4 linked regions of the Drosophila melanogaster genome follow. The gene in region 4 interacts genetically with the main gene of each other region. Each region holds a gene or a part of one and is shown on either strand. Other genes may lie near its edges.

Region 1 (6,718 bases), 9.2 Mb from region 4:
CGGTGGGAATTAGGGAATCAAAAGAAATCCCACAATAAGCCCCTCGCGAATGCCTCCGCCCACGCCTCTGCATGTGCAAGCGGGATGGCCAGAGGCAGGAAGTTCTGCGTGCGAGCGAGAGGCAGCGTGCACCCTTAGCGCCGCTCATAAATGTCAATGGAAATGAAAAGGCTGATGTTATTGTTTTTTTTCGTTTGTTTTTGGATGGAAAACAGAATGAACAACATGTGGGTTTCGCTTTATTAAACATCGCCTGGAGGAGGAAATGCCGAAGAGGCTCTACACACGACAAAAAATATACAAACATTCTAAAGACTCAAAACACTATGCTTAAATATTTGCAAATTTATTTTAAGGTCTTTCAGCACAATGATGTGATGTATTGATGTATAAATTTAAGGTTACTGTTTGTAATTCATTAAATATGATTGTTTTGCAATTGATTCCAATCCAGTTTGATTACTTTTTAAGTCGAGGTTCATGTCTGAATTTCATTTTTCTGTGCAACCAGAAGGTATTTATAAATTGAGCTCAAAAAAATAAAACGCACGAAAAATGTTCAAAAAATTTGCATATGTCAGTGTAACAAAAAACCGAAATTGATGGATGGAAAAAAGTCGGCGACTGAAAAACACACACTCGCGGGCTTAAGCCAAATAAGCTCTAAACGAAACGAAACGAGTTTTAACAAAATATTTTTGCATTGCTCAAACGCAGCTCAGAGCCGTCAGAGAAACAAACACAAATGCACGCCGGGGCCAAATAAAAGCCATTCAATTAATATCCGGACAGAAAACAACAAACAAAAGTCGCTGCAATTTTTCTGGTTTTATTTGTTTTGCACTGCTCCCATTTTGTGGTGTTTGAGGGGATATGGGAATTCGATAAACAAAATCGAAATTGGCCAAAATCGAAGGGATGTACCTTTTTTTTTCTTATTTTCGTCACCACTTGTTGGTCTTTGTTTATTGTTATTATTCTTTATTGGCACTTTCGGTGGCTGCGACAGCTGCGCGAACTAACGGTACGTGCAAATCGGTTGCGCAGCGCAGACGGATTGGCAACATAACCGTAATCGTTTGTTTTTGTTTTCGTTCTTTCGATCACTATCACTTCATCGATACTTCTTTCCCAAAACAGCACACGTTTACGCACCGAAGTTTTGGGAACACATTATCCATGCTGATATAATCCACGAACTCGACTCGACTCGATTCGATTTGATTCGATCCCTCGCGCGCGCTATGTAAAATTACAGATAGTGGCGCGATTCGGTTGCTTATATAGACTTTTTGCCATTTAGACGGACCGTTTATGGTAGTTTGAAAAATGCATGAAATACATTGAAGAAGCAAATGCTGATTGCCCACCTCTAGGGATCTCGCTCTTAAGGTTGTTGTCCTCGCAAAGCACTGGCGAGGTAAGAAACTTGGCTAAACCAGGGACTGTACGCACACACTGCTTGTATGAAGACGTGAGTACTGCTTGCTTAAGAGTGGGCGGAGCTTATTTAGGCACACTGCTTGCCACCCTTAAGTGAAACTTTGGCCGGAAGTAAAATTAGGGGTTAATTGCACGGCACTTCAGCCAATCAAACCGGGTTTCAGGCCACACTTCAGGTGTTTAGTGGGAAGGGGGTCCTTTTTTTTTATTATTATTATTAGTAAGCAGCATTTTAGGCGCCCCCGCTGCTGCTGTTAATTTTCTGATGTGCCGCGTAATTTGCTTTGTTTTTTTTTTTCACCCAGTTCCTCTGCCGACGTCGACGTCAGGATAAGCGTCGCTTGACCAGCGGAAGTAGAATTATTTGTGGCACTTCAGTCGCTCGCCGATTACCCAAGTGATTAGTTTGGACAGCTAACGCGGCACATCCTCAAACGAAATGCAACGTCACAAAGTTGAGATTGGCTCACCCGACGGCTCGCCGGGCATCAAAAGGAGTGACAGCTTAGATCCCATAGCGAACACTACGATTCTATCCGTGCCGCAACGTCCCTCGTCGCCGCGACAGTTTTTCGAACGTCTGTACGGGCATTTGGAAACGCGCTCCTCGGAAAATGGGGAAATCGACGTCGGAACACACGCCCACAAGCCGCCGCCCTGTGACACGCCCTATCACAGCGATGGAGGAAGCGTCTCCTCGCCAGACATTTCCATCAGCGATGAACGCACCTCGCTAGCCGCATATCCCGCCTACGATTTCTATGGTCACGCCAAGGACTATCCGCAGCATCCTAGCCAGCAGCACCAGCAGCATCATCATCATCACCATCATCCGCCGCAGCTGGTGCACCAGAAACTCAGCTACGTGAGCCCGCCGCCAGCAATTGCCGCCGGTGGAGCTGCGAATCCTGTCCTGCCACACGCATTCCCAGCCGGCTTCCCAAGTGACCCGCACTTCAGCGCCGGCTTTTCCGCATTTCGTGAGTACTTACATTTAAAAAAGAATGGTTTCTAACAATGTGTAGAATATTTGCAAAGCTATGCAGAATCTTTAGAACTACGAAAATAACTTCTTCAGAACCTTAACTCTTACATGTTTATTTTGAGGTTTCTTAGTTCTTACACACTAAGTACAAGAGTAAATTTGAGCTACTACGAATTTGGTCCTAACTAGATATTTAGGTGAGCGGGGATTTGTACTACGGCGGGGGCGAGGATTTCTTTGGCTTTCCCTGCTTCGCTGCTTTCTCCGCCGCCGCCTTCTCCTCCCGCTGCTTAGCCATCTGGCGCAGCTCCAGGCTGAGGAACATCTTCAGGTTCGGGTCGGTGATCTTGCTCAGCACAATCTCTCGCGCCTCCTCATCGTTGTCGCCCAGCAGCTTGGCCAGCGTCTGTGCGTAGTCCAGCCAAACGCAGTTGGCGCAGCCCGACATGCAGCAGGTGGTGGGCTCGGGAGGTATCTGCAAACGATTATATAATATGCAATCTCTTGAGCCACTTTCCTCTTAGGATAGAAAGTTATTTCAGTATTGTGATAACAATTGGATCCTTCGATAATACTGCTCAATAGTTTTAGAAGTTCATAGAACTACACTAAGTTTTGTGTTACAATACTAGATCGATGATCCTTTCTTTCTAATGAACTACAATCTTACCAACTGATATTTAACCTATAATAGCAATGATAACAACTAGCTTACAACATTACCTCTATGTTTCTGAGCCGCTTCCTTCCCTTGGTGGTTTTATCTTTGGCTTTGGGAGTGTCAGTGCCCGTCGTTGTGCTATTGGGCGGACAGCCACTTGCTGCCTCCTGGGCGGCCGCATCCTTGCTGCTGGCATCATCCTGGGAGCTGCTGCCCGACAATTGGCGGGCCAGTGAGGCCCAACGCTCGGCGCCACGTCGCAGGAGCAAGCATCGCGGACAGCTGAAGCCCAGGGGAGCCAACATTTCCGCCCGATCCCCGAAAGAGTTCGAAAGTTACGATTGAAAAGGCCCAGAGGAAGTGATGAGCATTTCACACGCCTGCGCAGGTGCAGCCCAGATGAACTTGGTTCCGCAGGAACTGCAAAAAAAAAAAGTCGGATACGCAAAAAAAAACTGATTAATCGTCAGTGCTGCAATATTGAATATCCCCCACATCTTCGCACCGAGTGCGCTGGCCAGGATTATGTAAAATCAGTTGGAAAAAAATAAACGAAACTAAGGTGGGGCAACCAAGCAATGCCACACAATGAGCTGCTGCTGCTGCTGCTGCTGCTGACCCCCAAATGCAAAGAAATTAGCCAAGGAAAAAAAATAACCGAATGCCAAGAAAAAATTAAAACGCATTGAGCCGTGAAAGTTTTCGTTTACTTGCGGCTTTTTCGTTTGCTCCTGATGAGGTGGCCAAGGTGGCCAGGTGCGGAGATGAGGTTGAGGGGATATTGAAACATGGAAATGCGTCGGCTAATGAAAATGATCGCAGGTTAAGGGTGAATGGGTTAGCCATTCGTAAGCAAGAAATCAAAGTTAAAGACACTTTGAAACCTTTTCTACGAGCAGAAACGTATTCTACATATGCAAGCATTTTTTAGATTCAGAACAGTTGATATATTTAATGCTAAACCAGCTTGGTAGTTACTATAAGTACTTGATCTTTAAATTAACTAACTTACAAGCCAAACTTTTGGTCAATCTCAAAAAAATAACAAGTGTCTGAAAAAATTAGCATTGTAATTGAGCTCGGCAGGAAACCTAAAAAAGCAAACACAAACAGCAAGCGAGGAGGGTTAAGCGAGGAAGACTCATTTTTAGCCACAACAAACCGTCCGAAAGGACACTTGGCTATCGAATTACACACGTGATTTAAAAAAAAAAAAAAACCTTCGGCAAGGATCAGGGAAGAGCTTAAGCCCCTCCAGAGCCATCCGGACTAGGGGTAATCAAGCAAAAGCTAGAGATTACAACGCCCACAAAGCAACCCCTTCCCGGGGAAACCCCCCCTCCCCCCCCCCCACCATCCTAACACCACCGAGCAACTTGTCAGCTTCGCCTTGTTACATCAATTAGACTCTAAACCGCAACATTCACCATGGTGTGGGTGTTTGTGGTGGGTGTTCCTGGGTGGCAGGTGCTCGTTGTTGCAGGATGAAGTGGGGCATAATGTGCGCTTGGTTGAGCTTCATCGTCGGCGACACTGCGAATGCAAACAATCAAACGACAGAATGGAAAACTCGAAAGAGCGGATGATGCCGAGAATTTCGACGAGGATGATGATGATGATGATGGCCAGCCAGCTGTTGGCATTGTTATAACTTTCCCGGATCAGCATAGATTGCCGAAATGAAAAGCGTGGTAAAAAAAAAAACATAGAGAACAGAAACTACGTGGTAAATGCACTTTTAATGTGCACCACAAACGCGACCGACGACGAATTCTGGCAGGTGGGCGGGCGGAGAGAGCAAGAGAGGGAGGACGACGGATGGACCACGGATCGGAGTGGTTAATTATTTGTTTAACTGACGCAGCGACACGCAACCACATTCGAAAACGTTTAGTCCCGCTCATAACTTGATGGTTTGTTAATGTAAGATTAATTTCGCTCTAACATCTCCATTGTGTTGGACATAAACGAAAGTGGGTGGGCTGTGAAAAAATGATGCTATCCGACGGATGTCGTTATTGTACACACTGAATGGTGCGGGGTTTACATAACTAATAAGCTGATTCCAACTAGATATTATACACGTATTAATTGTAAGGATATCAATGTATTTGACTTTCAGTGGCTCGCAGGCGACGCAAGGAGGGAAGACAACGCCGCCAGAGGACCACTTTCAGCACAGAGCAGACGCTTCGCCTGGAGGTGGAGTTCCATCGGAACGAGTACATCTCCAGGAGTCGTCGCTTCGAGCTGGCCGAAACGCTGCGCCTGACCGAAACGCAAATCAAGATCTGGTTCCAGAATCGCAGGGCCAAGGACAAACGCATTGAAAAGGCTCAGATCGATCAGCACTACAGGTGGGTTTCCCCTTTAGCTAATTTGAATCGTTTTTTCTGTTTCATATGTACAAAGATATCATCGATTTTGATTGAGTTAAATAATATTAAATGAACATAAATTAATGGTTGATGAATAGCTCGTGAAGAGGATTTTAACTGGGTATTTATACCTGCATTTTCGAAACGGAAGTAATTTAGTGAAATGTCACTAGTTTAATTGATGGCCAACATGAAATTAACACGAAATTAATTTTACGACATTTATGCGCACACAGACCCAATTAGACGATATCATTTTTTTCCATATTTTTTTTTTTTTTTTTTTTTTTTTTTTGTGCCGGAGGGGGTTGCTCGAAATTATTTTGTACATTGATGTAATCAATTTTTCAGAAACTTTGTCGTGGCCAATGGTTTTATGAGCTCTATAATGGGTCAGGCTGCCACGACCATGCCCCCCGGAGGCGTCACTGGGGGCGTGGCGGTGGGCGTGGGCCTAAACTACTATGCCGCGGCAGCGACGCCGGCAGCGCTGCCCAAGGATAACACGCAGGATGCCAATTTCATCGACATCGATGACCAGTTCCAGCGCCAGCAACAACAAAAACAACAACAACAGCAGCAGCAGCAGCGACGTCGAGAAACAACAACGCCTATTAACATTTGCTAATACTTGCTAATTGATTACATTTATTTGAGCTTTAAACTGTTTAGATTAAGATCGAATAAAAGTCATTGTGAAAACATAACAGATTGCAGGAATTGCACTTTTCGAAGAAATCACTCACTGCTTGCCAACAAACTTACGTGTGTTGTTATGGACTCAGCATTTTGCACTTGATTTATTTATATAAGAGAGGGTTTTTGAGGGAAAACCAGGAAATTTGTTAAAAACCAAACAGCAAAACTAACAAACAATAATGCAGCCCTGGTGCTCAGCCAGCTGTTTCTGCTGCTAATAACATGGCGGAAACTATCGATAGATGGTTACATAGATGGTAACAGTGTTATTTCAAATTTAATTTATGAAAATATCCTAAATGAAACAAACATTATCCCCCAGTAGTTCCCGCCAGATAAATGGCCATAGCTTCACGATTTAGATGCACAAACTGGCGCCTTTTCGGAATTGGTTGGACATTCGGTAGCCGCGTTCCATTCACGGCATTCAAACTCAGATTCGAGCTGGGATCGTAGTCATCGGAGAAAAGTGTATCGTCGGAAGAATTGGACTCAACCAACTGGCTTCCTGCTCTTTGAGCCGCCGCCGCCGGCGCTGCGCTAGTGGTTGAT
Region 2 (7,135 bases), on a different chromosome or scaffold from region 4:
GAGCCCGTCCTCATACAGAAGCCAAATCAGTAACCGCAACTTTACCTAATTTTAAAAAAAATCTTTGCAAATGATTCCGAAGTAATTCTAGCTGGGGCGTACGGAAAAAATGGTTTACTTTTAAAGGAACAGATCAAATTTCGCCGACACGTACACGAACCATTTTTGGAAGTCCAGCATTCTTATCCTTGAACTTCCAGCTTGACAAAGGCTTGATCGCGACCTAAACGGCGGTAGCGGAGGACTGCTCAGGTTGCTACACTGGAGATTGTGAAGTCTGGGGTCTGTCCAATCGAAGAAAACAGGTTAGGCCGCAGCCCAATCGCATACTTTAAAAGCAGAACAAGTCTCTAAAAAAACGAAAGTCATCATTCAAAAAGCATTTCGCGCGACAGACTCAAACTCGTGCCCAGTGTACATCTGCTAAGGATATCAGACAAAAAGACGAAAAGAACCCTAATGATATTAGGGAACTGGCTCTTGCATTCATTCCAGCGGCAAGTTTTTTGTTGTGCGGCGTTCGAAAGAATGATCAGCAAATTTAAACTTTTTCCTAGAACTGATCTTTTTTTTATCCAAAACGTAAGGAGGTATTCATCCTGACTTAAATAAATTTCCAAATACAAGCATATACATATATACATACATAAATATAAAAGAAGCCATGATAATCCAACTTACAAAATTATGACGAGTTCTGTTTAAAAAAATACATACGTATCAAATAAAATATTTGTAAACTATCTAAGAAACTGACCATTCTATGCCTAAAAATCGAACAGCTTGTGCAATACTAAAATTAAATGTTGACATTATTAAGACCGTTGCTTTTACTTTCTTCGCCAGTGCCATCCGCAGATGAAATACATACTAATACATATTTTATCACGTATGCACAAATGAAATTGACGCTGGTATATGCGTTGTGTCCAGCAGCAATGTTGCAAGAAGAATAAACTGTTTTAATAAAGTCCTGATTATGATAGAGGCTTTAACAGCCTTATAAGTCAAACTTTGCAAAATGGAGAGCAGCCGAAATTAATTAATCTTACCTAATTCAATGGCATTTAAGATCTTTTTCTGTCCAAAATATTGAATGTATATTCATCCCGATAAGTTTACAAAAAGTCAAAAGACATTTTGTCATTGAAACATAAGTAAGGCCGCAGAAAAGTAATACTTGCAATCAATAAGTTGAATACAAATTTTTTCTAGTCGCAAATCTCAAGCGAGCGAATATTTTCATTCATAAAACTAATAATGTGGTAGTCAAACATGTTCGACAGCGAACCGATCCAGCGGTTCGTACCACAGTGCTGGCAGGTCTTTCTGCCTAATATTTCTGGTGCCAATAAGTTCAGAGGCCTAGCAAACTTAGCTGTTCAAAATTTTGCTTTAAAGTATTTATATATTTCTTGTAAAGATAAATACTTTATTTCTTATTAAGCATATAATTTACTTATGGAAGAAATATATTTTCTGGCTAAGGGCGCAATTTTTTTCAAGCCATACACACATTAGGACAACGGACTCTAAAAAAACTGAATGGTCAACACTGATAACCAAACGCAGTTCGACCGCGTGCTGCTTTTAGCATGAAGCCAGCCGGTCCCTGGCGCAGGCCATTTCAATCCGCAAGATATTTTCAATCCGTCAGATACTTTCGTTGTGAACAGTCGTGCTCCGGTCAGAAGATTTTACGAGAAATCGTGAAAATAAAAAGTTCTAATAAGTTGAAGATAGTGCCAAAGCTCACATACGGCTTAACCAAACCACAAATTAAAAAAGTGCCTTTAAACAATACGTGACATTTCAATAGGTTTATGTTAACATAAAGCCCGTAATTGTGAATAAATAAAATATAAGCCCACAAAACTATTCAAATACCGTTTTCGGATACGCGCTACTTTTAAAGTTCTTGAATGTCCTTCGCGGCTATGGCGAATACCAACACAGAAAAACTTTACATGCAACTAAGCGCATCGGAATTATCAGCAATTATTATGAAAGGTGGGTATTTACCTTTTGCACGAGCAAAGGACACTGCACCTGTTGCCTGCGAATTGTGCGGCACCTGCAAATACTTACATAAATATACACACCTACATACATAGGTTTTTTATGTCTTGCAGTCGGATGATTATAATCATTTCCCGCAAAATATTTGTCGACAATAATTTGTCAAATAGCTGTATATTCATTTTTGTAATCGAAACCCAAAAAGAACGAATACAATCATTAAGGCAAGGAGGCTATGGCCCAAGGCTATGCAATAGACACTGAAGATAATTGACGACCAACATTGTTAATAGGGGGTGCTGCCGTGTGCACCCAGAAAGCCCCACCAACTAACACGTTGCAGCAGAATCATATTAGCAGCAGACTTGTGAGGATGGCAATTAAGATGCAGACAGATACGTAAATAAAGCCAACTATGTGTCGCCAGCGTACTCCAACTTTCGTCTTGTGTTGCATATGTCGGCCAAGCACTTTGCCCGCAATGGCGAATTTGGGACGACGATGTCGCCAGACATATTGGCAATTTGTCTGTTTGTGAAGCTGGAGCGACAGTTGGACTCTGCATTGTGTGTCCCTTTTCACCACCGCCTGCTGATTGTTATAATGTTCGAGGACAGACGTTAACTCCTTCCATATTGTTGGTACTGTTTACGTCAGCATTTCATAAAATCGATTTTATTTTTTGTTTCTGTGATCATTTATTTAAAATGCTAGTCTTAATCAGCAACGTTTCGAAATGATTAGTCTAGATGGCCATTGGTTTGGATAGAATAAGGTGTCTTTAATTTAAATTGATCACTATGAGTTTATAAAAATTCCACTTATATTATTTTACTACATAACGCAATGTAGTAACAGGAAAGCCGAATGATATTGGGTTCGTTTTATAACCAACGTAAAAATGTCCTTACCAAGTGTGTCAAAGTACTGCATGATCTGGATGTGTTCTTACGATTCATTCATAAAAGTGATGCGTCATTTTACTACAATATATTTCATATAGTCGCTATAACATATTTACATTTATGTACGTATGAGTATATGCACTTGTTATGATAAGACGAGGCTTCCCACACAGGGAACGCTTCCCAGTGGACCGACCGCCAGCCAAAAGCCGCCTATGATGATAACCTTTCGTTGACTTTTGGCGTGAATATGGGATTTTCTTATGCCTCTGACAGTTAATGTCTGCCGTTTTTAAGTAGGTTTTAGCTGATTTTCGCAGGAGGGCATTCATTCTTAGAAAAAAAGGCCAATAACGGGAAAACCGTTGTCAATTTCTGAGCAAAACTTGCTATTTTGTACTTGGCACCTAAAGACGGATCAGATCCATAAAAAATAAACTAATTTGGGCGTACAAAAAACATCTTAAAATATTCTTAATATAAACAATCGAGAATAATACCTTCTTCCGTGTATACTAAAAATAAAATAAAATGTGCAGGTATTGCCCTTTGGTCGTTAGATGTAACTTTAAGTGTCTGATACGGACAACTTAAATATAAATTGGTAGAAATTTATTTTTTAAAAACTTGGCAAGCTTTAAAAATGTTTCCGTTTGGCACAGGTGTTTTAAACTAGACGACGCCTGCGAGGACGGTGGCTTAAAAGTAAACATTTGTCTAAATATAAATTAAAATGCGGTATATAAACCACGCAAGACATGGGATAGAGTTAGGGCTATAAAACTGATGTTATTTGTACAGCCTGATTTCGTGGCCGCAATGTCAGTCAGTTGCTTTGAATTTCGTTTCGTTGTTTATCTGCCTAAAATTAGAAAAGATAGCAGAATATTGTGCTTATAAATAGTTGAATAAACATGCAAAAAGCTTACCTTCCGTAAATGTGTGTCCGCACCGGTTCAAACAAACAGGGAATAAATTTACTCATTCTTAGCCAACTTAGCTTAAGTAATTAATTTAAAATTAATAACAAGTAATTATTGTATGTATGATTGCTGACAAACATATACATATATATAATGGATAGGCTGATAACACAATAATTGATTACAAAAAAAATTAGCTGTTGAAGACAAAGTTTTTTTTTGCTTAAATACCGGAATACTTATAAATATCCTAGCAGATTCTATACCTTTATACTTTGCTGGCACAACCAAAGTTGAAATCGCAAACAAATTCGATCCATGTATGTATGCTCGTTTATATGCATTGTGATTTTTTTTTAAATTGCTAACCGGGTTGTTGGCTTCTGATGCAGTGGCTGCTTCATGCTGAACTTGAACTGGCTTTATTCGCCAGACTTGAAATAAATTACTTTTAACAAGTAAGCTGCGTTTCGGCACTTCAATACTTGTGGAGGTCAGTGGTAAATTAAGAAACCTGTTTTGTTTTCGTGATCAATGCATAATTTCACTTTATATAATGGACTTTCTTCTCATGTAACCTCCGATTTGAATGTATTAAATAGATTTCATAGGGTGGAAGAACATATTATAGATAAGAAAATACGTCAAAACTACGTCATCCAATTAGTTTCGATCAGATGGTAATAAAAAATAGTAACTAAAGATTTGGGATTTATTGAATTTTGAAAAGTCGAAGGGGTGTCACACAAAGGCAGTCGCAGCCCTATTCGGCTTGCTGGCCTGTTCCGCGAAAACGGGGGTTTTTTTAAATTTACGAATACGAAATGCCAAACATTAGTAACCGGTTCGGCGTAATACGTCACAGATAGAAGATAACTAACTCTTAAATTTTTTGGTATTTTTAGATTCACCCAATTCCAACGACCGTGATGCGGGTTTTTGTTCCGCCAGTTCGGAAAGCGAAGGCGGAGACGACTTGGTCGTCGAGCACGCGCGCAGTGGCAGTCCCGACATCAGACCAAAAGGAACAGACTCGGCGGACTCCAAGCCAATAGCCCTTGTCCGCAACAAACGCAAGAGTTCGGAACCCTTCAAAGTCGTAGGTTTGACGACTCCCAACTCTAAATCCATGCCTGGTCCTCCGTCCAGTGCGAGTATGAATGCAACTGGTCCGCTAAAGAAACGCATACGATACACATCTTCCGCCGATTCGGCAGTTGTCCTAACGCCACCAGCCATAGACTCTCCACCGCCCAACAGTTGCATACCTTCCACGTTGCGCCTGCAGCATGAAATAATGCCTAATCCGGCACATATATATGTTCGCCATCCGGGAGTTACGACTCTTCACAGATCGCTTGCTGCCCACCCAGAACAGCTGGAACCACTCGCATTAGTAACGACCAAAAAGCAATGTGTCGACCAAGCGGGGCCTAAAATAGAGGCCTTTTCCGCATTGCTAATTGGAAAACAGCCATCCGCCAAAAAAACGTTGAAGGAAAGGACGCAAAAAGAATCAACGTCATCTTCCTTTTTAGAAGCTAGTCTTAGCGATGAGGATCTGAACAAGACGGGATTGGCACCAATTTCGCGACCTCATCAACATCAACGCAATTACAAGAATATGACTAGGGAGCGCCGCATTGAGGCGAACGCACGTGAACGGACCCGTGTACACACCATATCCGCCGCCTACGAAACGCTCCGCCAAGCTGTTCCAGCCTATGCCAGCACTCAAAAACTTTCCAAACTCTCCGTTCTTCGGGTAGCGTGTTCCTATATACTAACCTTAAGTAGAATGGCTGGCGAGGATTACAGCGCCGATCAATCCGTACCGTCCATTGCCACGTGCTTAGAAGCTGTAACATCAACCATCCAAACGGAGGGAAAAGTGAAACGAAAGAAAGACGAGTAATCTGTCCAGTTTCGTGGATAACTTACTTTTTTAGACTTTAAATGCGACTGATTTCTGCTATTTTTTTAAATATTTGTGCTTAAGCTTAGATTAATCTGCATACAGCATTCCTATCCACATGCTTTGATTCTTTGCCAGAAGTGGCCTAATAGCTTTAAAAGTTTTCAAGGCTTTGTTAGATATACAGACTTCATGAGTTTAAAAAAAAAATTTTTAAGTATGCCTGCATACAATTTGTATTTGATATTGACATTGTTATGAATAAATACTAGCGATGTGATCATAATTTAATCTCTACCTACAGAAACATTTTAGTCAGTACAAAAAGTCAACGCCATCTATGTACGAGTGTATAAAAAGACAATAATCGGCATCCTTAAAACCTATGTAAATGACAATAATGTAAACTATATATTTACCTAAAAAAGTTTCAGTTTCTTGTTTCAAACAGGATTTTTATATCAATTTACAAGTTTTTAAAAGAAGCTTTGCCAAAATGTTGTAATTTCACCATCAACTTTAGTTACCTTAGGACTGAATATGAAAATGTATATTTTTTTACATGTACCTCTATAATAAGATCAATTCTTCTTTTACGAATTGCATACAACAGAGATAATCAGTAGTAATTAAAAATCCGTAGTTACGAAATTAAATAAAGAATTTAACAAATTTCAGTTTATGTAAGTAACTGTAGACGTTTCCTCTTCAATTGTAATCTCATTGTTTTGTATACATTGATATATTTGTACCCATGTATACATTCATAAGTGTACGTGCCATAGAATCAGGAAATACACAAAACTTACTATAAAGAGAATGTATTTTTATATAGAGTTGGGATTTCAGGTGGTCGCGGTTAAAATATTAGTCATCTGGGTGCAAGCGCACTAAAGGAAACCATATAGAAATGACGGCTTTAAGGGTTATTTTATGTCTGTACGTTAAACAATCTTATCGTTTGCAACAAGCTATTTCGTGATATTAAAAACTCAACAGGTGCGCAAAGAACGGCACGCTATCGATTTAAGTACACCTGAACGCATCCACGTTATCGTAACGAGTTTTGGCAAAACTTAGTCCCCTTATCAGGTTCGGAAATATATTTGTCAGCTTATCTAGCAGGCACAAAGTTTACCAATATCACAGTAAGTTGACAGTGCATTAGAACTCATGACGTACTCTGAAAGAACTCAACACTATTAACTATGCATATTATTAACAAAGTAACTGCATCTAGTTGACCCAGTGCAATATCCAGAACAAATTACATCAGCTAAGAATCCTATAGAAAACAGGTTAAAAACAGCAATTTCCGATCAGTACATATATAATGACTTGAGCATTGGCGTTATTCAACAAAGAGCAGGTGG
Region 3 (7,279 bases), on a different chromosome or scaffold from region 4:
GGAGCTTATAATAATGTCTTTCTTGGATAAGCGCCAGTCTTAGAATTTGTGAGCAGAAGTCTGCTGGTAAAAATTATAATTTTTCAGTTTAAATAATAACGACAGTAAGTTGGGTGCGTCGGCGGTTCTTTGCCAGCGAAGGCCTTAAATTCATTTTCAAGGCCTTTTATTTTTCATTCCTTTGCGGAACACGAAATATTTAAAAAAATCGTAAACTCATTTGAAAGTTTTCTATGTCCAACACCAAACTATTTACTCGGCAGCTAAAAAAAAAGCTTTTGAGGGTGAGGATTGGGGGTTCGAATAAGATATACGTACCTATCTACACTATAAAACTGGCAATTACCAGTTTATTCCCGTTTCTTCTTTTAACTTATTTATAATAAGCTTTTATTGGTAAAATTAGGGTAAACAGTTTTAGCATAAGGTTTATTTGGCTAACATTACGTTTAACTTTTTAATTATTGAATTGTTTTTATTTACGTATACGCTCATAGAGTATGTTTACAGAAGTCTAAGCGAAAAAAGCCTAAAATGCTAATAAGCATCACAAAACGTGAGCATTTGTCCTGCGTCTCACTCTTTTACTCCGTTTTATATATGTACGTGTGTAAGTACATAAGACGTTCTTTATGTAATACTTGTACATACAATTTTATATAGAGGGGGCTGCCAGGATGAAGCCTTTTTTGGCTGTTGAAAGGGGCACAAAGAAGAGAAGGCGTCAGTTCCGCGGCATGGCTGAACGGGAGGCGATTGGTATGAGTGGGTGGCGTCGACTTTCTTTCATAGCATTGTAGATGTTTGCTCTCTCTCTCTGGAGATTAAATGGAAAAAACACTGTGACATTTTCTGACTGCGCGGCGCGATTTTTATATTCGTTTTTGCTCAGCTGCTGCCGTTGCCTGCAGACGTAAATTTAAATTCCAGTGAAGGGATGGATGAATAAAGGGGGTGACGTGGGGAGGAACGTGGCGACGGCATTAGTGGGGCGTCTTGTGGCAAATGTAAAATAATGCGAAAGGGCTTCGTTTGCATAAATTAAAAATTTATGTAATGCTGCCCGTTTTCTCTTTTACGAAAAATCGAAGAAAGCTGTGGGTAATTTTCTAAAGCGGGGTTGCTACGAATATTTTTTGCTTTACACAATTATCTCATATGTATATACATATATATACATATATATATTTATATTCATTTATTTTTGGTTTCCCAGACAGCAATTTTTAAATTTAACATAATATATTTCGATTTTTATGTAATAAATACATATTTGCCGATGTATACATATGTATTTATTATTGATATAGGTAGAACATTAAATTAGAGAAGAAATAGTTATGACAAAAAGTAACAGTTTCGTTTACTATATGCTAGACTGACATATCTAATGCAATCATGTACCATAAAATACATTTTCTAGTTTATATTTACTGACGTATTTTACAAGGTGTATGTGTGTATGTCTTTAAAGGGTTAAAATTAGCAACCCCCTAATTAACACATATAACTCTTATTTTTTGATACATTGCACATCCCTAGCCACAATTAGGATTATAATTTATTTACATAAAAATTGACTTGTGATTTTATAAATTTAATTATATCTATTGGGTTAAACGTCGAATGTTGCTGTACACAATTAATATGATGTCTTTCGTGCGCTGACTTTCAAATGATTAGAAATGCACTCTCTATTTTAGTTTATAGCTCTTGTATTCTTTTAATCTTGAGGAACTTGTATACCATACATTTGAATGAACAAAGAAAATTACATATTAATTTGTTACATTATTATGACTACAACGTTTTAAAATAAAAGCAGTAAGCTTACCAATGAATAGAACGAAAAATTGCACTAAATTTATTTCAAATTGTTATTGTTATATACAACCTTATATACTTTTATATGTAATTTGAATTGGCCTAGTATTTAAAATTAATTTCTTATTTTAGGTCCATTTAAATATGCATCAAAATTTTAATACATATAAATTGTTTATGCTTCGTAGTTTATATTCCTAAGTCTTGTATATAAATTCAGTTGAATTGTACGATTGCCAAATTGTTGAATGTATATACTGTTTAGCTCACAACAATTTCGATACAGAGGTATTGGAGGTATTTGGTTATAGCAATTTCTTCCTGTGTATTTGGTTCAAGTCTTACAATTAAAACTAATAGTTACGAGTGTTAAGATAAGTGGGATTACTATACTTTCGATACGCATTGATCTACATTAGGTTATTATTTTGGAATATATATTAACGTTTCTTATAGTTTGCAACAAAAAAAAAAAGATTTTCAAAAATGGATGCGTAAACTGTGTTTAAGTTATGGCAATATGAAATAAAAGCGGAATCAGTTAAATATTAACGTTACCATTGATTTTCTTTTTTCTTTATTGTTTATATTTGAAGCAGCAACAATTAAACCAAATATTTATTGAAGTATAAATATAAAAGTGTACATTTAAGAATGATCTTTAAAAAAACAGGATTAACTAAATTTTTATATTTAATAATAGTTTTAAATAGAGAATGCAAACAGAACAATTATCAAACAAATGTTTTTTATTATTTAACTTAAAGTTAGTTTTGATTTGAAGATTATTGGCATTGTTTTCTTAAAGAATTTGATTAAATTATAAAAAATTAAGCTAATAAATTAAATAAAATTAGTTATAGATTTCCTAATTAAACTTCGTGTCTTTTATTTTTCTGCAACAATGCATGTTTAGAGCGCCGATTACTTTACAATTGGCAGCTGTGTAAGCTGAATATGTACAATTTAAGATTCCGAACCTAAGAATATAACTTAAATTTAAGGTAAAGAATGGCACGACATTTTCGATTTGATTTGGTGGGGTTTGGCGGTAACAAGCATACGGTATGGCTTACTTTGTACAATTTCGACTTTTTTGTATGTTATTTTTTTTTAAACTTGTACTTATCATTATATTCCTGTTGCAACAATTTTTACTTTCCACTTTGAAATAGCAAAATTTTCAATTTTGTGTTAATAAATGCCAGTCAATTTCATCAAATGAAAACTGATTAGGGCTATGTACAATTCGGTGTGGTACTGGCCTAATGTTGTTGATGGCCCATATAAGAAGCCGGGGCATCATCTAAATCATACAAGTCAATATCATCGGTTTGCTCGTGAGATCCGATAGAGCGAGGAGAGTGCATGCTCAAATCCTCTGGCTCGGTTTGCTCAGGCATATCACTGGGTACGTGAGGGATTTGCGGTGGAGGCAGCCGGAAAACCCGACGAATGTCCTGTGCCTTGCGCCGTGCGATGTTGCTGCAATGGCCATCCACAGAGCTGGCTCCATCTTCAGACAAATCCAATGGACCATCGTCCTCCGGTGTCGCTTTTTCCATGTCGACCGACTCATTCGAACCTCCGTAGGTGGCACACATTGCCGCAAATCTATTCGTGGATGCCTCGATAGCAATTGCGGAGATTGCCACGGGGTAATCTCCACTCATGGCCGGTGAAAGCGCGGGAGTAGGCGGCGACTGGATGCCACACTTGTGATTCATCAGATGGTGGCGCCGTCGGAACTTCATGTGACACCGTTCGCACTCGAACGGCTTTTCACCGTTGTGTACCAGCATGTGGGACTTAAGCTGATTGGAGTCACTGAATTTGCCATCGCAGATTTCACAAGTATAGGGACGCTCTCCAGTGTGGACTCGCAAATGTCGTCTAAGATTGGCCACCTGAACGAATTGACGATCGCAGTGCGAGCAATGATATGGTTTTTCTCCAGTATGCAAACGCATGTGGGTTTTTAAGTGATGGTCACGAGTAAACCGCTTGTGGCACTCCGGACATTCGAAAGGCTTCTCACCGGTGTGGGTGCGTTCGTGGTTCTGAAGCACGTGCTTATAGCCAAAGCTGCGTGAGCAGATTTTACAGGTGAAGCTTTTGTCGCGAGATGGATCCTTGGAGACACCGACACATCCAGCATTTCCACCCGCTCCGTCGTGCGTTGAATTAGGAGAGCTGCCACTGGAAGGCGGAGATATTGGGCCTCCCGATGTATGGTACATATCGTTTACACTCATGCTGATCTCGGTCTGAAACTCCTTCTTAACCGATAACTTTCGAGCCTTCTTCGCTGGCTCATGGTGCTGGGGAGTGCTGTTGGGGGAATTTAATGGGTGCTTGCCACTACCTAAAGGAGTGGACAGCGGCGAGTGCGGGCTGGCTGGCGGCGAATGTAAATGCGTACCCTGGGGCGGGAGCGACTGTTGGGCAGCCCAAGCCCCAAACAAAGCCGCCGGATTGTGTGGAAAGAGAGTGTTGGCCAATGTGCTCATGGGCAGTTGGGCCATGAATGCGGCAGCTTGACGGTTTGCAGCCAGAAGTTGGGTAGGTGAGAGCATTCCAAAAGCTGAGGCAGCGGCCGCCTGTTGGAGACCCATAGCTGGATAAATCGCAGCGGCGCTTGTAGCTGATGTGTTGGCCGACATGGGGGGCGATAGCGACATGGAACGGTCTAGATGAACGTCCTCTTGTTTTATGCCAGCTAATGCAGCAGCTAAGGCTAAAAAAAAAATCATAAGTTAGTATGTTTTCATTTGGAAATGTCTTAAGAGCAACGGCTTAAAAGAGAAAAAAATTTTACATATGATACATGTGTGAGAGAAAGTTTCGTACGGAGAGAACTCTTAGTGTTTTCGCAGCTCTCTATTTTCGTCTAACTAGTTTTTGTTTTGGTCGATAACGAGTTAAGTGCCGGTTCCTGTCCAAACATGTAAACAAATTCTAACTAATCGGTATGTGTGCAATTACATTACATTTGTATTTTCTATCCTAAAGACATCGGACTGTTTAATAATGAGAAAGTGATCGGGGACTCTAGAACTTCTAGATAGTTTACAAACTTGGGGAATATTTTAATTTGGTCTAATACTTACTTCGCGTTTGTGCGTCTTGAAGCATTGATATGGACATCAACAAATTCTTCTTGTGCTCCTAATTTTGTGCTCGCGCAATGTTTTCCCGCACACAGAAAACACCTATAATATTCGCCTTCGTGGTTTTGGAGCTTCAGTTTTTTAGACAACAAAATTTCATTTGAGCAATTTGTGCACTTTCAGGGATATGAATAATTTTTGTACACACTTTTGTACTTTGAGGTAGAGAGATTTCACAAAAATTGTCTTTTATAAAAGTTTACCGATTTAGCAAAATGAGGTAGTTGAAATTTGATTCGATTATATTACTCGCGGTTGTGTGTGGCACAACAAATGGTTGTTCCTTTCGCTGACAGAGCCAAATCACGACTGATACAAATTCGCTGCGTGAGCTAACTATAAGTACGCTCTGTCTCGGCGAAAGATTCTCACTCACCCTCGTACGCACACACGCCGGGACTCAATTGGCTCTCCCGCTCACACGCACGCAAATAAGGGTGCAGACAGGAAGGGAAATCATCACGGCGAAAGCGAAAAACGATCCCCAAGCCTGAGCAGGTAAAGTAAAAACTGGGTACTTCGCTGAGTTGAGTGAGTTGATTTCATCGATTCCTTTTTATACCTAAAAGTGCTAATTTTTCATATGCAAATTGGTGCGAATGAGACAGCTAGAGGTTCCTTTCAATGCAAAAGATATATAGTCAGTTAGAGTCAAATATGGACGATGTGGTTTTTTAACATAGGTTGTCGATGCGAATTATCTTCGCTGAGTAGAGGGTTTTATGACCTTTACGTTTCTAGTCAGTAATAAAACATAAAAAATCAGAACTATGTGTTGACCGTTAAAGGACATTTTTTAATGCTTATGACCACTTCCGCTTGTGTTTTTTAGAGCCTTCATAAAAACTGCACTTGCAGGAATATTACACCACATAAAGATCACGTAGAAGTTTTTAGAGTTAGTAAGGGACGCACAACAAAAACTCACTCAGATGTGCCTTTGTCATTTCCCCTTTTTACATTTGAGCTATAGAAAATAACTAATGTGTCTAAGGGGGATGAACGCCAATGGAGAACAGGGCGAAAATGAAACAGCGAGAGCAAAAGAGCCAAAATTCATGAAAAGAGATGTCACGGACGGGGTTGAATTTCAAGCGTGCGCTGTACGAGTAAACAGGAAGTAAACAAAACATCGGCTTAAGGAGTGCAGAAAGTAAGAAAGAAGGTCGACGGTTTTTTACCAGCTATACTGAGTGAGTTTTTTGTCTTCCTTGTAGCCTGTTGAGCAAAGTCTCAAAGACGTGGAAGTTCAGTTTAATGGACAACTAATTATTGGCACACGTCTAAAAAAGAAATCGTAAAAAGGAACTAGTAAAAAACGGATTCAGGTAGAAAGGAAATATAATAAAAAATTGTAAGAGAGCTGCATCGTTGAAATTTTCTTGCTTGTATAGACGTTTTCTGTGACTTTTGCGGATTGACTTTTAAATGGTTTTATGTAGATTTTTATGGCAAGGACATGCTATGTTAAATTTATGTTGAAAATCGGTATTTTTGGTTTTGTAGGTAGGCCAAGGACGCTCAGAGCTCACCGGGTGGTAAATTTGAACTACCGTGGATTTTAAGAAAGTGAAACCAAACAAAAGCAGAAAGGCACACAAATATCCTTGCTCTGCATAATGTTACGTAAAATTATAATGGTTTTGTCATCGAATGTTCGACTTCATAGAAAGTTTTTCACCAAAACAAAATTCGCAGAAGGCATTAAATAATATGCAAGCAAAGCGCTTAAAACTGACCCTATTGATAAGAAATTCTTAAATTTCGGGCTGAGCTGACCGGTTTTAGAAAATCTTCATACGATTCCTATGTTTCGGCGATTAGTCAGAAATTTTTTTTGGTTGTTTGCGTGATAAGCAGAGGCTTGATATTGAAAGATCCACTTAAGCTCAACAGATTTTAATAAGATCCGGGCCTTATCGTTAATGACTTTGTCGGCAATCACTAAACTAGAATAGTATCAAAGCGAGTAAAAGAAAAATAGACTAGATTTTGATTGGCAAAGCGAACTAAAGATTTCCGAGTGAATGGGGCAGAAGTGCGTGTAAAGTGCGTATGGTCGAGGCCGCTGATAAGGTCCGAAATATGGGAACTTACCTGGGTCAACAAAATTAGTTTAGTTAGTTATTATTCTTTAATATTAATGAGTAGTTTGTAAAGCTGGGTCAAACTCATATTCTAATCGCGCTAAGCTTTATTTTCAAAGAAACCACGCGCTAAGCTAAAACATTTTAAACTATATTATTTTTCGCAAGAATATATCAATTATTGAGCAAATATATGAA
Region 4 (4,689 bases):
TGCAACAACTAGATCATTTAATATTCTTTTCGGAAAATGGTTATTTTGTTACAGAATACACAACATTTATTGTGTCCTTTTCATTAAGTTTCTATCCTGGAAGGCGTTTAAGCTACCATCCAGTTTTTCGTTACTTTAAAGCCGAAGGTTGCCCCCGCAATATTGAGAATAAATATGAAATAAGATACTATAACTTGAAAAGACAACCGCATTTTCTATTTTCGGAAGCTGTGAATTAAAACGAATCATAAAAACACTGCTTTTGGTAAATACTTCAAGGCATTCCTAAACAACGTATTACACCGGAACAAAGTATTTACAACTATTTCAAGTTCGGAGACTATTTAAGCCGAATACTCTTGACTTTTAGATGTATCTTCCACAATATCTTGTATCTACAGAACTTTCAAACATTTTTATGGACTTGCAATGATTTCTCGTGAACGCAACTAAATATACCTTTCAATTTACAACTTTTCTATCCCAAAAAAGCATGTTATCCTTGTTATCCCCAAATATCCCCTTTTTGATCACTTACCGGTGGTGGTGTCCTGTACTGCTGTGACGGTCCCAGTTGCGGACTGTAGGGCCTTGGTGGCGGTGCCCAGCCGCCCTGTTGCCCTCCGTACGGCGATGGCTGGTGCTGCGGTGGCGGCGGTCCATGTCCTGGTGGAGGGGGTCCACCGGCCTGCTGTTGCTGAGCCGCCGCTGCCGCTGCCGCCGAAGCGGCCGCCTGCTGGGGATCGTAGGTGTTGGCGTAGCGATGCTGCGGCGGAGGCGGCGGATTCGAGGACTGAAGCAGAGAGTTTAACGTTGGCGTGGGTCCCTGCGGAGGCTGACCGGGTATGTAGCGCTGCTGGGGCGGACGATTAGGTGAGCCACCGGGCCCCGGTTGCTGCGGGGGTTGCTGTTGAGGATGTGGCTGTTGTTGTTGTGGAGGCTTTCCACCTGGCAGCGGCTGGCCATAGCGATATGGATCCATGTTGGGATCGGCGTGGTAGCGACCATACGCCGGATGTGGATGAGGCGGCGGCAAGTGAGTGTACTCCTCCTTGACACCGGGCGCATGCTCAGGTGCTCCTCCGGGCGGTGGTGGTGCAGGTCCGCCGTGGTGCTGCTGTTGCTGCATATGGGGTGGTGGCGGATGCTGCTGTTGCTGCTGGTGCAGATGATGATAGTGCATGACTGCAGCTGGGTCCGGTCCTGGTGGTCCTCCAGGACCAGATCCTGGGGGCGGTGGTGCGCCGTATGGATGTGGGGCAACATTTTGTTGTTGCTGCTGGATGCTGGGATCGCTACCGTTGTTGCTGTTGTTGTTGGGTGTGGGCGGGCCCGAGGTTGGCGGTGTAGCGGCACCAGGAGCCGCTCCAGCCGATGGGGGCGTGGCAGCAGGGGCGGGAGCGCCACCTTGCTGCTGCTGCTGTGTTTGCGGCGACTTTATTTTCTCATTCATGGCTGCTCATCGGCTTCTGGCTGCGCTGCTCCCGATCTCCCAGATTTTCCGGATCGGATTTTCCCAGATGTGTGGCGGCTACTGATGGAACACCGGTAACCACCAACAACAACAACGCTGACGCTGATGATGACGACGACTGCAGCGGCGAGTTTGAGGTTATGTTAGCTGCAAGTTATCAAAAACGGGGGATTAGCATTTGGCAAAGGGGGTCTGGCTTATTAAAGGGGGCAGTCCTATATCACTGGGCCTAAATCGAGCGGGTTAAACATAAATAATTTGTACTCGTTCGTGGGCTGTTGTGTATTGAAAAGTCCGCTACTAACACACGCACACACATGCTCACTCGAACAGGCAGCACCAATACCACAACAATTTATTTTCCGCCGCGTACGGTGGGCAAATCGTAGTGCGTTGACAACCCTGCCGCAACCGCTCTCGCAGTTTGAGCGCATCCACTCTCGTTGGCGCTCTCGCTCTCTCTTTTCACATTTGGCGGCTATACACGCACACGCCGTATCCCTTTCCGTCTCACTTGCACTTGCTCGCCATCCAGGCTGAAGGCATATGGCGCTCTCGCTCGCTCGCTCACTCTCTCCCTTGCTCGCTTTATTAGTTTCTGTGTGAAACGAATGAAACGGGCAGCACAGTAATGATTTTTTCGTAATTATTTTCTATGCCGATTTTTCGCGTTTACACAGCACTGGAATGGAATGGACGAGGGGGCATCATCTCACAATTGTTTAACTTATTTTCTTTTCGTGAGTGGGAGAGAGAGGGGGGCTAACGCTTAAGATTTATAAATAATTGCCGCGCCTGCTTGGCCGCGTTTGTTGCGCGTTCACTTTTGGCCGCTGCCGTTGTCTTGAGAGGCTCTCTTTTTTTGTTCGGCTGCTTGCGTTTTCCTGCGGTTTTTCGCCAAGTGTTTATGAAGATGATGATGATGCAAGGATTCGACATCCAATCATTTGCATATGTATACACACACGCACTCACTCGCACACACACTCACACAGCCTCCAAAGTGCATCGTCGAGAGGAGAGAAACTGAATTTTTCACTCGCCCTCGGGCGAAAGTCCGGCGGCAGATTTGTTGTTGGGCCAAGAAGACTCAATATATATTTTGCGGGGCGCTTTGGTTTTTGGGGCTTTTCTTAACCAGAAATCTACATACACGCACACCACTTACACATAGAAGAATATTCACGCATTGACGACCGTCCACAGACTGGCTATATATACTAAAAACGAACTCGCGTGAGAAGACAGGGACAGGGCAGCAAACTCGGTATACGAACGGAACGAAATGAAACGATTCAAGTAGTAGTGTATGCAAGTCTTGTCTGTCTGCGCCTGGCGTTCTTTTCTCTTCTTTTTTTCGATGGTTTTTCGCCAGGCTGGGCGCTGCCAAAACGCTGATACGGCGGCCACAATCACACGCGGCTAATCGCCAGTTGGGCCCTGCACAGGCTGCACATACTTTTCACTATTAATGCGCTGTATTTCACTTATTTTTCGAACAAATTCGCAGCATGACGAAGAAGCGAGCCTGTACAAGATTAGAGCGGGTAGCACGCACGATAGTATCGATACGTACGAGTATTTGGCACTGCGATACATTATCGGTGCTCGTTTCGATAGCCCCCGATAGCTCTAGCACGAAATTTTATCGCTTTATCCATATTTTATACTATTTTTATTTATTGGACTTCAATGAATATTTATTTTACGTTCTGGTTCGCTTTTTAAATATATATGGTAATCAATAGCTGGCGAATTAGCGATATTTGAGTGTGACGCAAAAATGAGTTGGCATCGATATCGATTTCTCGCTACTCTGGGACGCCATCTTTATTGCGGTATTTTAAACGGAAACTTAACTCAAATTAAACGGCGTGCTAAAATTTTCCATTTTTTTCGAATAAAAGCACGTAAAAGTTTGTGAAGATGTAAAAGTTATAAAAACTAGAAAGCCTTATTCGTGGCCAGCGCTTTCGTTTTAGAAATACGTCAATTTAAAGTTTTTAAGGTAAATTGCAAAATTGCAATAATTGCAATAATATAATAATAATAAAATTTTGGTAAGTTATAAGAGAGTAAATACAATTTTGAAAGTTTATACCCCCGTTAACAAACCACTTGAATTTAGAGTGGCAGAACTATGCAACTACAGCGAGTTTAAACATCGATATATTCGTGATTTTTGGTTTGCTTATTATCGATTCCATACAAAACTACCGGCATAAGCAATTTTAAAATAGACGTAAACAACATCAACGTAATTAATCCACAAAAACAAATTCTTTTATTAATTTTAATTGATGCAATACATTTTAATTTTTGTGAAACTCTAAATATCAATAGTCGCCCTATGCATTGATCATTGTCACAAACATTGTTAAAATTTATTAAATTTATTTTGGTAGAACACTAGGTTTTCGATTTACTGGCTTCCGGATTTTTACTCATAGGTTTTAAAAATATTTTTTGCCAAGGATATCAACTAAAAAAATATTTGTTTATTTTTTTATAATATTAATGAAATTCTATATTGAACATTTTTATTTTTTGAACTGCTTGCACAATTTGCTAATAAGAGAAGTTGCGCTTAACAGTAAAATGTTACTGACATTAACAGCACACGTACGAGAATTACAGTACACTGCTTTCGACTTGCTGTGATATCGAGCATTCCTGGTATCGAGTGCAAAATGGCGGCATTTTAAGTTCAATTTAACACGATTAGGTTGAGCTTGTCGATTCTTTTTTAAGTATAAGCCAACAAATGTTTCATTAAACGCATAATGAGTCGCATTTTATTTATTTTGTTGCTACTTATTGTGACGCAACTGAGCGAGTTGCAGGCGGCAGCATTTTCTGTGCGCCAAAATCGTTTTGATGAAGTTCCTGATTTGCAGACTCCTGCACCTCTGGCCACTTCCACTGAATCTTCTAAGAAACCCGAAAAAGGTTGGTTACATATGTACGTTTAGTGATATAAATTGAATATCTCGGCAATTTCAAAATGGCGTAAAGGGTGAAAGTGTTCTTGTCCGCTCTCTGTGAATATAAGTTACGGTTAATCGCTCTACACTGAAAACAACTGCATAAAAAACTTTCATATTTACATAATTAACAAAATCAAATTTTTGTAAAATTAAATACAATATAATATAAAAGTATAATTGTTTCTTCAATTTTAAAATTATATTTTTATGGTTATTTTTATTTCGTAA

What was found.
Region 1: of osa (region 4) and ro, changing one suppresses a phenotype caused by changing the other (phenotypic suppression), as found in Drosophila melanogaster (2 studies listed by BioGRID).
Region 2: of osa (region 4) and net, changing one enhances a phenotype caused by changing the other (phenotypic enhancement), as found in Drosophila melanogaster (2 studies listed by BioGRID).
Region 3: of osa (region 4) and Kr, changing one enhances a phenotype caused by changing the other (phenotypic enhancement), as found in Drosophila melanogaster (2 studies listed by BioGRID).

What each region holds. Positions count from the first base shown.
Region 1 is NT_033777.3:26,876,270-26,882,987, reverse strand, and holds ro (rough), read left to right. Parts: upstream 1-1,816; 5' UTR 1,817-1,882; coding exon 1,883-2,423; intron 2,424-2,528; exon of another isoform or gene 2,529-2,642; coding exon of another isoform or gene 2,643-2,903; intron 2,904-3,151; coding exon of another isoform or gene 3,152-3,394; exon of another isoform or gene 3,395-3,509; intron 3,510-5,211; coding exon 5,212-5,446; intron 5,447-5,818; coding exon 5,819-6,095; 3' UTR 6,096-6,217; downstream 6,218-6,718. Other genes in the region: CG5500 (uncharacterized protein), read right to left, coding at 2,643-2,903, 3,152-3,394; ms(3)K81 (male sterile (3) K81), read right to left, coding at 6,478-6,718.
Region 2 is NT_033779.5:81,895-89,029, reverse strand, and holds net (net), read left to right. Parts: upstream 1-1,642; 5' UTR 1,643-1,937; coding exon 1,938-2,010; intron 2,011-4,752; coding exon 4,753-5,762; 3' UTR 5,763-6,609; downstream 6,610-7,135.
Region 3 is NT_033778.4:25,224,644-25,231,922, reverse strand, and holds Kr (kruppel), read right to left. Parts: upstream 5,313-7,279; 5' UTR 4,972-5,312; coding exon 4,935-4,971; intron 4,562-4,934; coding exon 3,090-4,561; 3' UTR 529-3,089; downstream 1-528. UniProt on the Drosophila melanogaster protein: Krueppel is a gap class segmentation protein. It is involved in the segmentation of the embryo and in the differentiation of the Malpighian tubules.
Region 4 is NT_033777.3:17,715,314-17,720,002, forward strand, and holds the start of osa (osa), read right to left. Parts: upstream 3,038-4,689; 5' UTR 2,643-3,037; intron 1,622-2,642; 5' UTR 1,454-1,621; coding exon 539-1,453; intron 1-538. Other genes in the region: Pxt (Peroxinectin-like), read left to right, coding at 4,258-4,423. UniProt on the Drosophila melanogaster protein: Trithorax group (trxG) protein required for embryonic segmentation, development of the notum and wing margin, and photoreceptor differentiation. Required for the activation of genes such as Antp, Ubx and Eve.